Coturnix japonica: one gene and its partners. The protein of the gene in region 2 interacts with the protein of the main gene of each other region in a pairwise test. Links are inferred from orthologs where the notes say so. Each region holds a gene or a part of one and is shown on either strand. Other genes may lie near its edges.

The links.
Region 1: the proteins of LMO2 (region 2) and TLE family member 5 interact in binary tests that used the Homo sapiens proteins (3 or more experiments, as listed by UniProt). The two-hybrid records come from large-scale screens. The link is inferred for Coturnix japonica from reciprocal best matches to the Homo sapiens genes LMO2 and TLE5.
Region 3: the proteins of LMO2 (region 2) and TAL2 interact in a two-hybrid assay, tested with the Homo sapiens proteins (2 studies listed by BioGRID and IntAct). The link is inferred for Coturnix japonica from reciprocal best matches to the Homo sapiens genes LMO2 and TAL2.
Region 4: the proteins of LMO2 (region 2) and STAT1 interact in a two-hybrid assay, tested with the Homo sapiens proteins (2 studies listed by BioGRID and IntAct). The two-hybrid records come from large-scale screens. The link is inferred for Coturnix japonica from reciprocal best matches to the Homo sapiens genes LMO2 and STAT1.

Annotation. Positions count from the first base shown.
Region 1 is NC_029543.1:645,298-649,375, reverse strand, and holds the start of TLE family member 5, read left to right. Parts: upstream 1-1,278; 5' UTR 1,279-1,504; coding exon 1,505-1,531; intron 1,532-1,744; coding exon 1,745-1,842; intron 1,843-3,229; coding exon 3,230-3,293; intron 3,294-3,928; coding exon 3,929-3,973; intron 3,974-4,078. UniProt on the Homo sapiens protein: Transcriptional corepressor. Acts as a dominant repressor towards other family members. Inhibits NF-kappa-B-regulated gene expression. May be required for the initiation and maintenance of the differentiated state.
Region 2 is NC_029520.1:6,402,647-6,404,964, reverse strand, and holds part of LMO2 (rhombotin-2), read right to left. Parts: intron 1,909-2,318; coding exon 1,693-1,908; intron 1-1,692. UniProt on the Homo sapiens protein: Acts with TAL1/SCL to regulate red blood cell development. Also acts with LDB1 to maintain erythroid precursors in an immature state.
Region 3 is NC_029547.1:48,944,694-48,948,664, reverse strand, and holds the start of TAL2 (T-cell acute lymphocytic leukemia protein 2), read right to left. Parts: upstream 2,801-3,971; 5' UTR 2,605-2,800; intron 1-2,604.
Region 4 is NC_029522.1:2,025,102-2,029,089, forward strand, and holds the start of STAT1 (signal transducer and activator of transcription 1-alpha/beta), read left to right. Parts: upstream 1-1,188; 5' UTR 1,189-1,241; coding exon 1,242-1,315; intron 1,316-2,169; coding exon 2,170-2,298; intron 2,299-2,932; coding exon 2,933-3,077; intron 3,078-3,988. UniProt on the Homo sapiens protein: Signal transducer and transcription activator that mediates cellular responses to interferons (IFNs), cytokine KITLG/SCF and other cytokines and other growth factors.

The sequences.
Region 1 (4,078 bases), on a different chromosome or scaffold from region 2:
AGGGATCCAGCAGCCTTTCTCTGCTCACTGGAGCACTGCAGCCTCTGCCCATGGATGGGGCTCTGCTGAGGTGCTGCTCTGGGCATGGTTTCTTCCAGCAAAGGAGAGAAGAGAAGAAGCAATGCTTTGCTGTGGGCATTGCAAGTCAAAAACTGAGCCCTGCATTGCAATGGTGGGGTCTGCACTGTGATGGTGAGCCTTGCACTGTGATACTGGGGCATGCAATGTGATGGTGAGCCCCATAATGCAATGGTGAGCCCCATATTGCAATGGTGAGTCCTGTACTGTGATAGTGAGCCCCAAATTGTGATGGTGAGCTCCACACTGCTGGGGTGCTCAGCTCCTGCAGCATCACATCAAGAACCATAAGCAATAGGTGAACAAGGAACGCCAAGGGCAGACGTGTCTGGCCCATCTGGTGGCCTCCATTGATGGCATTGGTGGACAAAGGAAGGGCACAGGCTGCAGTTGTGCAGGGCCTTTGCACGGCCCCACACTGTGCCCATTTCTCTCAATAGGAGAGAGGTGGGTTTGAAGGGTGGGCTGTTTGGTGGGTAAGGAAGTGGTTGGATGGTCATAGCTTGGGATCTGTGGTCGTGGTGGTCCTACAGACCCCCCTGCGCTGCAACTATGGGGGGGCAGAGGGCAGGGAGGGGACTGTCCCGTCTGCTCAGCCCTTGTGGGGACCCACCTGCAGTGATGCATCCAGGTCTGGGATCAGGCTGTGGGATGCTCTGAGCTCTGAGCACCAAAGATCCTCTGCTATGGAAACGTGCTGATGGAGCAGCCATGGAGGCTCCGGGGAGACCTCACTGCAGCCCTCCAGTACTTGGGGAGGGGGCTTACAGGGAGGAGGGGGAGTGACTTTTACCTGCCTGATAGCAATATGGTGATGGGGAGAACTGGATGCCCTTTAAGGCCGACCCCACTCTAAGCCCTTCTCGCACCCACGATGCCCGCAGCAGGTGCGGGGCTCTGGGACACAGCGCAGACCCCAGACCCACGGAGGGTCCCACGGAGCGGGGTCTGAGCGGCACCGGGTCGGGATGGGTGGGCGTGGGGGGGGCAGAGCATCACGGCTGGGGGGGGTAGGAAGGAATTGGGGGGGGGGGGGCAGCTGGGCGCCCCCCCCCCCCCCGATCCCGGGGGGGGGGGGGGGGGGCGAGGGGGGGGGGGGGGGGGGAATTGGGGGGGGGGGGAGCAGCTGAGCGCCCCGCACCGCCCGGATCGCGGCGGGGGCGGAGACGGCCGTGGGCCCGCCCGGCCCGGGGAGGCGGCGGCGGGGCGGCAGGTGGTGCCGAGCAGCCGCAGGACGGAGCGGATCGCAGCCGCCATTAGACAATAGGCGGCGGCTCGGGGCACAGCGGCGCGGGGCGGCCGCGGGGCCGGGCCCGGCGCGGACAAAGGCGGACGGGGAAAGAACGGAACGGAGCGGAGCGGAGCGGAGCGGAGCGGAGCGGGGCGAGGGGACCGCTGCGGGCGGTGGAACGGGCTGCAGCCTGACATGATGTTTCCACAAAGCCGACACTCGGTACGGCGGCACCGGGAGGAGCGAGGAAGGAAGGAAGGAAGGAAGGAGGGAAGGACGGGGGGGAGCACCGAGAGCCGCCCCCTGCCCGCCCGCAGCCACCGGGAACCGGAGCGGGGGGTGCGGGTGACCTTGGGCGGCGGCGGGCTGCGGTGGGGGGGCGGGCAGGGCTGCGGGCCCCCCATTGGGTGTGCAGCGCTGTGTGTGTTGTTCAAGGGCTCCTCTCACCTGCCGCAGCAGCTCAAGTTCACCACCTCCGACTCGTGCGACCGCATCAAGGACGAGTTCCAGCTCCTGCAGGCCCAGTATCACAGGTACGTGCCGGTACCGCCCCCACCGACCGCCCCGAGCATCCCGGGGGGGTCCGCAGTGCGCCCGGAGCTGGGATCCTCCGCTTTGGCATCGCTGCCCTGCACGGACCGGGACGCAGCGTGGCCAAGAGATGGGCTCCGTGCGGCACGACGCGCTGCCCTCCCAGCCCAGCACAGGTTTACCCCCAGGCTCAGCCTCCCCAGGCCGGTATCACCTCCAGGTCCCACCTGGAGGACCGATGTGAGCATCCCAAGGAGGGGGGGGGGACGCCCGGTGTGCACCCATTGCTGCCTTCCTTTCCTTTGGCCACGCAGTTCGGCCCAGAGTTGGCCAAAAGCTGCAATCCAGGCAGGGAACGCTCTGCTCACTGCCCAAAAGGTGGGATTCTGGAAGGAGAAGGAAGGAGAACGCTCTGCCTCCCCCACAGCCAGGTCTTACCCCAATGCAGGACTCCATGCACAGCTCTTCCATCCCTCCATCCATGCACAGCTCTTCCATCCCTCCATCCATGCACAGCTCTTCCATCCCTCCATCCCTGTGCAGCTCTTCCATCCCTCCATCCATGCACAGCTCTTCCATCCCTCCATCCCTGTGCAGCTCTTCCATCCCTCCATCCATGTGCTGCTCTTCCATCCCTCCATCCCTGTGCAGCTCTTCCATCCCTCCATCCCTGTGCAGCTCTTCCATCCCTCCATCCATGTGCTGCTCTTTCATCCCTCCATCCATGTGCAGCTCTTCCATCCCTCCATCCATGTGCAGCTCTTCCAGCCCTCCCTCCTCTCGCTGGGAGTTTTCCTCCCCTCTCCCTGCTGGCTGCCATTCTTGGCTCACAAATGCTGCAGGGAGCACTTAAAGCCAAATGCTTCCGCTTTTCCGCCTGCGGAATGGCTTCTGCTGACCCAAAAGCTGGCTGCCGATGGGCTCTCTTGCTGTTTGCTTCCTAGCTGCACGCATGCACCAAACCATTGCTCCGTGTGTTGCCCTTTCCCTATTGCTCCCACCTCCCCGAGCTCTGCATCGTGCAGCATTGTGGCCCCCCCTTGCAGGACCCGATCTGCTCACAGAGCAGCAGGTTTGGTGGAGGTGAAGCTGTTTCTTGTTTGAAACATAAAACCAGCACATGCTGCTTGCAGCTGCCGGGCTGGGGAGCTGCACAGAGCACAGCGAGCAGCACGTCTGCTCTTAAGGGTGCAAAGAACCCAAAGGAAAGGGGGAAAAGGCATCATTCCAGAGGCCTGCACTGCACCTGGGCTTCCCCAGTATAGGAGGATCTGGTTGCTTTGCTGAGCTGCACTGGGCACACAACAGGCTGGGATGGACCCTGCAGGATGCAACCCAGGATGCAACCCGCTGCCCTGCTGCTTCTCTCACTGCTTTCTGCCTTTGCAGCTTGAAGTTGGAATGCGACAAACTCGCCAGCGAGAAATCGGAGATGCAGCGTCACTACGTCATGGTGAGGAGCTGCCGGGGCAGCGCGTGGGTGGGGAGCAGGTGCTGCTGCTGCTGGGCTCGTGCAAACGGGGCTCCTCGTGCACACAGGGCTCCTCGTGCAAACAAACAGAGCTCCTCGTGCTCTGCACCCTGTGTGTGTGCTGGGTCGGTGGGTGCAGGATGGACATGCAGGGTGTGAGCAGGGAGCTGCTGTCTGTGTGCAGAGCTGCTCTGCTGCTTGAGCAAACTTGGAGTGCTCAGGAATTGACTTCCCGTGCCAATAGCTTGCACTGGAGCTGCCTGTTGTGTGAGGGGGGTGGGTTATTTTGCGTGTGTGTTTCCTGCAGCTCCTTCCCAAGCAGCTGGAGCTGTGTGCAGCTGGAGCACAGGGCTGAGCCCTTCCATTTGCTGCCGGAGCAGCCACGTGGGCGTTAGGAGATGGGCCAGGCACAGCAAACAGAGCCGGGCTGTGCCTGTTCCCAGCAGAGCACTGAGCTCTCCCTGTGATGCCAGGGCTCTGTGAAGGTGCTGAGTGGGCTCTGGGTTAGTTGAGGTCCCACCTGGGCTGGGGGCAGCAGGAAGGTACAGATGTGGGGGTCTCTTTGCATGCTGGAGTCCTCATCGTGTCTGTTTGTTCTCTTCTTCCCCACTCCGCAGTACTACGAGATGTCCTACGGGCTGAATATTGAGATGCACAAACAGGTATTGGGGGGGGTGGGCTGCCTGCTGTGCCTTCTGTCCCTTCAGTGGCATTTCAGGATGTCAAACGTCAGCACTGATTTTGGGATCTCCAGCTCTGGCATTGGG
Region 2 (2,318 bases):
GTATGTATAAATACAAAATCATAGAATCATTTAGGTTGGAGAAGACCACTAAGATTATCACGTATATTCTTAGAAGGAGGGAGAAATCCTATTACTTGTGTAAAGAATACACACATTGACTTTGAATTCTATGTATCCATACTAATTACAGAAAGATTTTGTCCACCCTCTACACTTCACTTCTGTGCCTGCTTCATTTATCCTGAACTGGAAATGGAATACCTACTACAGAGAGCTCTTTAAGGGTAGAAGACATCATTCCTTTAGTCTACCAGGAGATGTCAGTGTCTACTTCTGCCCAACTAAAGTAATAAGGTTACACAAATTTTGCAAGATGTCTCATTAATGATGGAAGAAATCATGCTATATTATTAAATAAACAAAAACATTCCATCTCATGGCAAGAAAACACATTACTGCACTGGCATATTTTCTCTTGCTTCCCTTTTAAGACAAGTATCTGGGAAGTGTAGCTAACACTGGTTCATTGCTGGAACACGATGTCTGCTGAGACTTTACAAGTGGTCCCATTTCTGCCAAGAGAAATTCCCATCAGTAAGTTCCGGAGCACAATCACTAGGAGCTCCTTTGAGATGTTGCTTTAATTTTTGTAGACTTCAGAAAGGTAGCTGAAAACATATACAATGTCTTCAGCCTGTTCCACAAACATCCTGCAACATTAGGGATCCAATGGGACAAATGGGATACAGCCAGCACAGCTAAGACCCACTTATAACTGAGAACATAGAGATCCCTTATTACGGATGTTTCATGAAATATACTATTCCCAGTTTAATCCTTTTACTTAAAAAATAGGGCGAATCAGATAGGCAGATGTTGCTGAGAACTCCACCGAGTCCAACTTAACAGGACCAAACTTCCCTGTACTGGCTGCAGCTCCACACTACACATCCAGCACATGCTGTCTTTCTGCTTGAAGTGCCTCCGGTAAGTTACCAGTGATGCAGAAAAAGACATGGATCAATCCACGTACAAAAGGCTGTCATTTCAGAACCAAACAAGTCCCACTGCTTGGTGGAATCAAGCGTCTCTTAAGGGGCTGACATTACCACATCAGAAAATGAATTAAATTCAGTTACCTTGGATACCATGTTCTTAAATGAGAGAACGAAATGATCTTTCATCAGTAGCCAATCTCAACACCTGTTTTTATATAACTTTCAGCTCCACAGCAATGCCTGCAGTGGCACAGAACTGCTTAAAGCCATTCTTAGGAGCTGGCTTGCAGTCAGCTTGGGCAGGGTGGCCCTGAAATTCATCACTGCTTCCCAGTTTCTGCTTGGCAGTACCCCACACTGACACGTCTCAGCCAGCATCCAGCCATCTGGGGAGCAGCAGCACCGAGCAAACTCCATTATTCTCAAACTCTACATCTAAGATTAGCCAAAATGAATTATGCATGATTCTTTGTTCACTAGCTGTACCTTAAATTGATAGACAAAGCTGAAATGATAGAAAGAAGGGAAGGTGAGTGGAATAAGTCACCCAGAGAGGCAGTAGTTGCCCCATCCCTGGAGACACCCAAGGTCAGGCTGGATGGGGCTGTGAGCACCTGATCTAGGGTAGGTGTCCCTGTTCATTGCAGGGCAGTTGGACCAGAAGGCATTTAAAGTCCCTTCCAGCTCACATAATTCCATGATTCTATGAGAAGCGGGCTGGGAGGCCACATACCTGAGATAGTCCCTCCGGCAGAGCTTCCTGCCCAGCTTGTAGTACAGCCGCCGCCCCACCTCTCCCAGCCGGCATCCGCACAGGTCGCAGCTGAGGCAGTCCTCGTGCCAGTATTGGTCAATGGCCTTCAGGAAATAGCGGTCCCCGATGTTCTGCTGGCAGCCCCCACATGTCAGCAGTGACGGGGGGATCTGCAGCACCTCATCCACCGGCTCCCTGTGAACAAAAGGGGTGTTGGAGAAGGGAAACACGCTGCCACCATGCCAGTAAGAAGGAGGAAAACCAAAACCAAACACAATGGCAGGTGGGTTGATGAGAACACAGAGCACACCCTCATATTTTCTCCCTGTGGAGAGAATGATTTATCCCTTTCTAACATGAGTGGGAGGGAGCAGCACGTCGCTCTTCTTGGGCTTTAAAGAGATTGGGATAACTTAAACTATAAGGAGTTAATAAAAGTAGCCAAACTCTCCTAACTTGTTTATATATTTTTCTTCAAAGGATAGCACATAAACATGAAGATCTCTTTATCACCCAGGAATATTCATTACTGTAAATATACCTGCAATGTTAATAGAGAATTGGTGCCAGTGTAGATATATCCTTCTTTTTTTTCTGGCAGAGAA
Region 3 (3,971 bases), on a different chromosome or scaffold from region 2:
CTGTAACCCAGCACGCATTTGGCAGGGAGCAAAATATGAGGTTGACACCACGCCATAAATGTTGTGCACACAGGATTATTTTTCCTGTAAATTCCCACTTGCCAAGCTTTTTATATTCCTTTGCAGTAAAACTGAATTACACCACAGCCCTGTGCAAAGATGCCACTTGTGCTGTAGCAGTTCTTGTTAAATTGATGTCTACTGTGTTGACTTGGACACAACAGCTTGCTGCGCACCACAGCAAAGAAAGGGGCATTTGCCCAGGAACTCTAGCTACCCTTTTTTATTATTATTTTTTGGGGGGGCTAAACTTGCACAAATGTTACTGTCTATTCAAGGAGATCTGGGAGACAATTTGTAATAAAGTTTCTATGTCCTCCTCATCCAGTCTCCAGTATGGGCCTCTTGAGTCAAAGCCTCAATTACAGCTCCACTGGGTTTCATTTAAAAACAGTGTCTGTTAATTTCCCAAACGTTACATCTGGACACTATTGCAGTGCCACAGGGTTAACATGGAGGGGGAAAAAAAAAACAAAAAACAAAAAAAAACCAGCTAGATCTTCTTCCAGGAGCTCTTCAAGGACTCTGTTCTTTGCCAGACTTGTATGCGGAGCCCTGCTGAACACAGATATCATCTACTGGCTCCTTACATAGGGCAGTCCTCACTGGAGGTCTACCATGCAGAGATGGAGGGTGGTCAGATACCACCTTCCTCTCAGCTCAGTAAAGATCACTCTGCAGCAGCTGGCCCTGTCAGAAGGCACTGTGAGAAGCAGGGGAAGAAGGACAATGCCATAAGGACACTTGCCTCAGGAGAATGTGGATATGATGCTATTTTAGAATATAAACAAGATGATGTTTGGCTTTTCCATTCTATCTAGGTGTGCTCTGAGGCTGATAGCAAATCTCTGACTTGAGCAGGACCAAAAGTTTGAAAAATTATTATCTGTGTGCAATGTGTCCCCTTCCTACCAAAAACAATTTAAAACAGGGTACCATGGCATCATACTGGGAACTAATTGGGTTAGAAGAAGTGTGGAGAAACATACCCACCACAACAAAGCTTCACTTCCAGAGGCACAATACAAATCAATGCAAAACAAGGACTGTGGTTTCTCACAGGTGTTACACTGCTAACCTGCATGGGACAGCTCCTGATAGGAAGGTCAGCGTTCAGGTCTGCATGGCCACAGGTCTCTTTTGAGCATCTGGGTTTCATCCCCAGGTCATACACCAAGCTTGCTGGCACTGGGAGCTTCTCATTTGCTGGATTGGCTGCTCGTGCTGCAGCCACTGTAATAATATATTTAAACAGGCAGTAAGAGCAAGCTGCATTTATTTTGGCTGGGTTTTTTGGGGGGTGGGGAGTGTTGTTGTTGTTTTGTGTGTCTGAAATGATAGACACACAGTGGAGAAGGGTTCTAAAAACCATGTGTCATCCTTTACTGTTTCATGGAAAGCAGGAAAAATAGGGATTGCTACTTAAGAAAAAAAAAAAAAAAAAGCTTTTATTGTTTATTGTCAACCTTGGGCAAATAAGGCTCTATCAGCCCAGAGATACTAACCTGTTCTGTATAGGACCGTTTCAAATTTTTTATTTTTTATTTTTTATTTTTTATTTTTTATTTTTTACTTTTTACTTTTTATTTTTTATTTTTTATTATTTTTATTTTTTATTTTTTATTTTTTTATCTTTTATTTTTTATCTTTTATCTTTTATTTATTTATTTATTTATTTTTGAAATCTGAGAGTTATTCGTGTTTGACTCCTGAGCTTAAATGAATAAAGTCCTTAAGCTTTTCCTGCCAAGTAGACTACTGAGCTGGGACAAAATTGGAATGTGATGTATAGTGCAGACACACCAGCCGTAAGGCATACAACCAGTAAAGCAGTGGGACATTGTTAAGTATGTGAGGACTGAAGTTTGGAGCTCTTTCTTTACGTCCTTATTTGTTTACACATTCATAGGTTTTCCATACAATCTATCTAGTTCATAATCACACAACAAATTCTGGCAAGTGCATGCTTCTCTATGTTTTCACAAATAATTTGGTTCAAGTATCAAACACTGTAGAATTCATTTGTTCCTCAGGGAGCCCACAATGTTCTATACAATCATTTTCTCTGAATGCAACAACTGATTTACAGCACTTTCTGGTGGTGTAAATGAGTTTGCCTAATGTGTAATAGTGAGGTCATAATGTAAGAATGTTTCTTTCCAAAACAGTCAAAAACAAAAACTAATTTCTCCTGGCATGAGGCTGATTCACCGAGTCTTCTCAGTGGATGCCAAGAATTGGAAATTCCCAGCACAAAATTAGGGGAATACAGTTACTTTGCTTGACTAAACGCAGCCGTTTCTGCAACTATTCCGTCAGATAACGTGCCTTACTATTCACTTTTTGATGACAAGATTCTGAAGTGCCAAGAAAATAAAGAGGAATCTAGGGGATGGTAAAAGGTAATCGCTGAAATTCCTTCTCTGAATGATATTTCCCGCTGTGTGTTTCAGAAAGGAAACATCAGCATTCCTAGGAGAGTTGCAAGGTAAGCCCGGGAGATGGGATGCAGTTCTGCACAGAGACAAGTAAATTGTCACTTACATTTCTGGTCACAGGTGCTTGAGGCTCAGCAAACCAGGTCAGCGGGTGAAGGGACAGCAAAATCAGGCACGTCCTTTTCTCGTTCTGCAGCAGCTCTCACCGTGCCTGGCTGCAGAGCTCGCTCTCTCTGGATGGAGTCAGCCTAGTGCTGGTCCTGGCTGCCTCATTTATAGAATAGCAGGTCCTTTGTCTGGCGCGTGTCACCACTGGTCCTAGCAATCCAGGAGCTTGCTTTGCATCTCCCAGGAGATTTTCTCTGTCCTGCCTTTTCTTTCCTTGACACCACTCTGCCTCTTAATGGAGAGACAGGGGGGACTGCTCCCACTATCCCAGGCACAACTCTGGTTGGGTCAGATGTACTTTGTCAGGAAAAAATGGAATTCTTGTGGCAAGAATCAATTATTTCCCTTAAAAATATGTATTTGTTTATTTATTTAATCAGCTCTGAGCCTGCAAATGTTTCTGGACACCCTCTCAGCTCAGTGACAGCAGCCCACAAGCTCACATATGACTGCAAGAAACAGAACACAGGCTGATACTGCAGGAAGGAGGGACTGAGGAGTGAGCCTTGTGTGCAGGGTTGCCTCTCAGCACGGGGCCGGCAGAGGAGATGCTGTGGGGTCCTGATGTAGCCCAGACCCTCTCTCCATCAGGCTGAATCTCCAGAGAGAAGGTCAGAGGGTGTGGGGATGTTTGAGAAGACCTCTGAACACCACTGTCATATCCCCTTGTTGGTAACGCAGACTGATTTGTCCTGTGCCCCTGGACAACGGTTCTCTTTGTGGGAAAACAGTCGCAGGATTTCCTCAGACCCAAGCCAACAGAGGCGCAGCCTTGGTACAAACGCACGGAGGGCTGTTAAAAGCGCTGCACATCTCTGTTAAGAGGGCTGCCCCAGCAATAGGAGCGTTGCTCTCAGTCCCGGCGGGGCAGCTCCTCCCCCGCGGAGCTCAACCGAAGCTTCAGCCCTTTCACGCGGTGAATTAACAGTGGCACTACAGCCTGAAAGCTGTGTCAACCGCTTCATTTAGCACAAGTGTTATGTTAACTAAAGGTCCTATTCCAGAGGGGCCTTTGGCTTTACAGCAGCCTAATTTCCATGTAATTTGCATTGGAAAATTGCAGAGTGCTCCTTCTCTGTGTTGCGTCCCCAGCCCATCGCTTACCCACAGCCTGCCTGGCATCCCCTGGTCAGCACGGTGCCTGCAGCAGCGGGACTGGCCAGCTCAGAAAAGGGCAGGACCAAAATTGCTCATCCCTGAATGCTTGGACAGCCCTACTGCTCACGGTTTTCAAACCCTGGCCAGATATAAGAGATACCCAGCCAGAAAAGTGGTTGTTCTTTCAGTGAGAATGGTTGCATAGGC
Region 4 (3,988 bases), on a different chromosome or scaffold from region 2:
AAGAAAACACACCCCACTAATGAGAACGTGTCCCTGTATGAGATGAGGGTTCAAAGAAAGGAAGTAAATGGCAAAAAAAACAAGAAAAGCAAGTCAAAAGGGACACTCTCACATGCTGCTACAGCAGATGACATCTGCTCTCCAGCACTTTTACTAACAGTGCTTACGCTTTCACTGGGTTTCACAGCTGCAAAATCAGAAATAACAGGAAAAGAACCCAACAGCACTGTGCTGTGCTTTGTGCCCTGCCCTACTACCACACGGTTTCAAATTCAATGTAAAAACCTATTAGCTACCATTTTCCTACTGGTTTGATATATAAAGAACTCAGATTCATACCAGTAATCAGGGCTACCAGACAAAAACTTACCAGCACATCTTCTATTTACCCATCTCTTCTACCAGCTAAGAAGGTTTCCCTGTTTGAGGGGAGCGGGAGATACAAACTACAACCAAAAAAGACCCAAGCACTCCCCATTAGGTTTATACACTTTACTGACCATTCACAAACACTTTGGAACACTCTGGTAAATAACTCAGCCTACCCAAAGAAATTGAGTGTATTTTCTCTATGCATCAAGGAAGAATGTTCATTTGGCAAACTCCTGCCTTTCCAGAGCCTCAGGATTTATCTTCTAAATAATCTTCATAGGGGAAAAAAAGAAGCAACAGAAAAGAACCCAGGTTTTAACATAAGCCAAGATTGTCTAGAGTTACTTATACCAACACAGCCCTACATGTCCTAACAAGGCAACGAGCTGCAATAAGGATGAAATGTGAGATAATGAAGCCTCCATATCAGTTATTTACTAGGATGAAAGCTCTCAGCCGGCCAAACACCGGGCACAATTAAAACCCTCAGCTGTTATTAAGCAGACCTCCATCCAAGTCTCTGTCTGTTGGACGGAAATCTGGGTTAATTTATTAACAGCCCGAGATACGATTGTACAGTCTATCAATGCAAACAAAGGCCAAGATGGCGGCGCTGTGCCTGTGGTGTCGCTTTCGGTTTCGCCTTCCCGCCAAGCGGCCCGTTCCGGTCGCAGGGAGCCTTTCCCAGAAGTCACGTGGTGCAGCGCCGCCTCACAGCGCCGTCACTACGCATGCGCAAAGCACCACAGCGAGTCCCAGAAGAAACGCGGAAGAAAAAGTGAAGGGGGCGGGGCTTAGGGCGGCACCGCGCGTGCTCATTGGCCCGGGCGGTGTGGGCCGGGCTCCTATTGGCCCTGCGGTGTATCCCCATGGCCGCGGCCGGGAGGGTATTTGTGGGAGCGGGGAAGGGGAGAGAGCGGAGCGGGACGGGTAGTGCCAGCGGGTGAGTACGGGATGGGGTGGGGGTAAATTAGCATCTGATCGCCGTTATAGCCAGCTGTGAGCCTTGGAACCATAACCTGGGGGGTAGGAGAAGGCTGGGGGGGACCTGAGAGCGACCCGCTCTGCGAAGGAAGGGGATATGCTCTTCAATAGGGTCTGTTGTGATGGGATGAGGGGAGAGATTGGAGCTGAATACAGAGAGACAAAACTGCTTCTAAAGAATCTCAGCAATATCAACCCTAATATTCAAGCCAAAAATCATATACAAAAAGAGAAAAGAATCAGACTCACCCAGCTGATGAAGGGGCTCCCTGGCAATGCAGCACTCCTATACGAAGCAGCCCAGATCCAAACGATGCTCTCTCTTCAGTGGCTGGTATTTATATGAGCCATAGGGCTCCACTCTCAGCCCACCCTCCTGCTCAGCTGGGAGCACAGGTGAACACTGTCTGTACTCCCTTAGGCAGACACAGCCCTGACCTATCAGCTCCCCTGTAAGCAACTACAGTACAGTCACAGTGCTGATACTGATTGAGAAAGGAGCGTGTATGGAGGGTAAAAAACGCAGCTTTTCATAGGGAAGAGTGTTTGAAGTGTTGACTGACTTCTGTTGATGCAATTAACAGTCTTAATTGGCAGCTTTTGGAATTCAAAGCAGCGCAGAAGATGTTAAGTGATGTTTTGATCGTTCAGTGATTCCATTTCACCTCAAAACAGAACGTGCTTCTGTTCCAATTTCCTTCCGTTTTACCGTGACCTCCAGATTTATGGGTTTAATGAAAGCCTGGAATGAGTCATTTTGCACCACTTCAGCTCTAACGGTACCTTAAGCTGCTTTTATTCCCCGCTTCCCAGGATGACTCAGTGGTATCAGCTACAACAACTGGACTCCAAGTTTTTGGAGCAAGTTCACCAGCTGTACGATGACAGCTTCCCTATGGAGATCAGGCAGTACCTGGCACAGTGGCTGGAAAACCAGGATTGGTAAGCATAGAAATTGACCTTTGGGTTATAGGATAATAAACGTTACACAGAGAGGGACAGGTGGCAGCAGAGTACTGGGGAAGAAAGCTGCTAGGGACGTGGGGACACCTATGCTGGTAGGATGCTTTGAGAGCTGTGCAGCTCATAGACTTGAGGAGGGGTGGGAATCTAGTCTGTGTAGGGGAGGCCTGATGTCTAGAGTAACAATTGCCCCACTTAATGTTTTCTTTAGTTAATCTCAACCAAAAGCAGGTGTTTTAAGGCAGTCAGTTTGCCTGGCACCTCAGGCTCTCACCATTCACAGACTCAGAACTGTTTTCCAACGTTCCTATGGAGTGTTGTTTAGCACTGCATGGTGTGTGTATGCATCAGGGTCACTTCTAGCTTCCTGATGCACATGGAAAGGGTCAGTGATGTCACACAAAACGTGGCAAAGGCAGCACAGAAGAACAGCAGTTCTCTATTGAGGAAAGTGAAGCAGAAGGTGAGAGGATGAGGCTGACGTGTTTGAAAGCAGTTCTTCCTGCTCACGTATATTACAACTGGAGCTGGGGATCAATACAACGTTCTCTGTAGTGCATTTTGAGTGCTGGTTGAAAGCATTTAACACAAGCATGCTTGCAATTTATTCTAGGGAACACGCGGCCAACAATGTGTCATTTGCTACGGTGCTATTCCATGACCTGCTGTCACAGCTCGATGATCAATTTAGCCGATTTTTGATAGAAAACAACTTCTTGCTGCAACACAACATAAGGAAAAGCAAACGTAATCTTCAGGTATGCCCAGGCACGTGTTTAAATACCTTTGGTGCTGGAGTTGGATGTCCCCAAGCAGAATATTCTGCCCTGAGGGATTTTCCAGAGAGTATTCGAGAGCCTTAATTTAACAAGTCAGATTCCAAACGTGACTCCATTTTTATTTTAACTTGGCTATGGTTACAAAGTTACTTTCATTAACAGTACAAGTTATGGTTTCTGAGAACTCAAAACCAGAAGTTGCTGTATGCAAGGGTCTGTAATAGGAGCATGCAAGGAGCATGTAATTGGAGTACCTTAGGGAATGCAGCTTTGCTTACCCCAACCCTTCCCAGAGCAGTTTCTTGTCTCAATAAATCACTGATGCAGAAGAAACACAGGAGAATAAATCCTTAAACATAGCTACAGAACCACAATAAAAAACAGGGAATCTGTCACTTGTGTACATCACATTATTCTGACAAAGAAAAGGATGAAGCAGTGGGTAGTGGATAGCACTGCAGAATCTATTTGTGGTCTCCATTACTTCCCTTGTCTCTGTGTTCCCAAGTGGCAGCAAATGTCCCTTCTTTATCTTCCCAAGTGAAAGCAGCACCTGTCAAGCTATAACTCCTCTTTAAAAACTGCAGCTATGCCTCCAAGGTGTGGAGGTGTGGCTCTCAAAGCTGTCTCCAGCACTACAGTGTAAAACAGCTTACTCTGTGCCTTCTTACAGTAACATCTCCAGCCCTATGTCATTGTTACATGACAAGTCCCATCAACTCTTTGTACCCTAACAAAACAAAGTAATACACCAAGCAGAGAAACTGCTTCCTAGAGCTGGCTACAGTCCATGTAGTCTCAAAGCAAGATACAACTCGGGCTTAACCCGACACATGTTATTCTTGTCAGTTGATTTAATGAAATACAAGAGATTACACGTATTAAGTTTA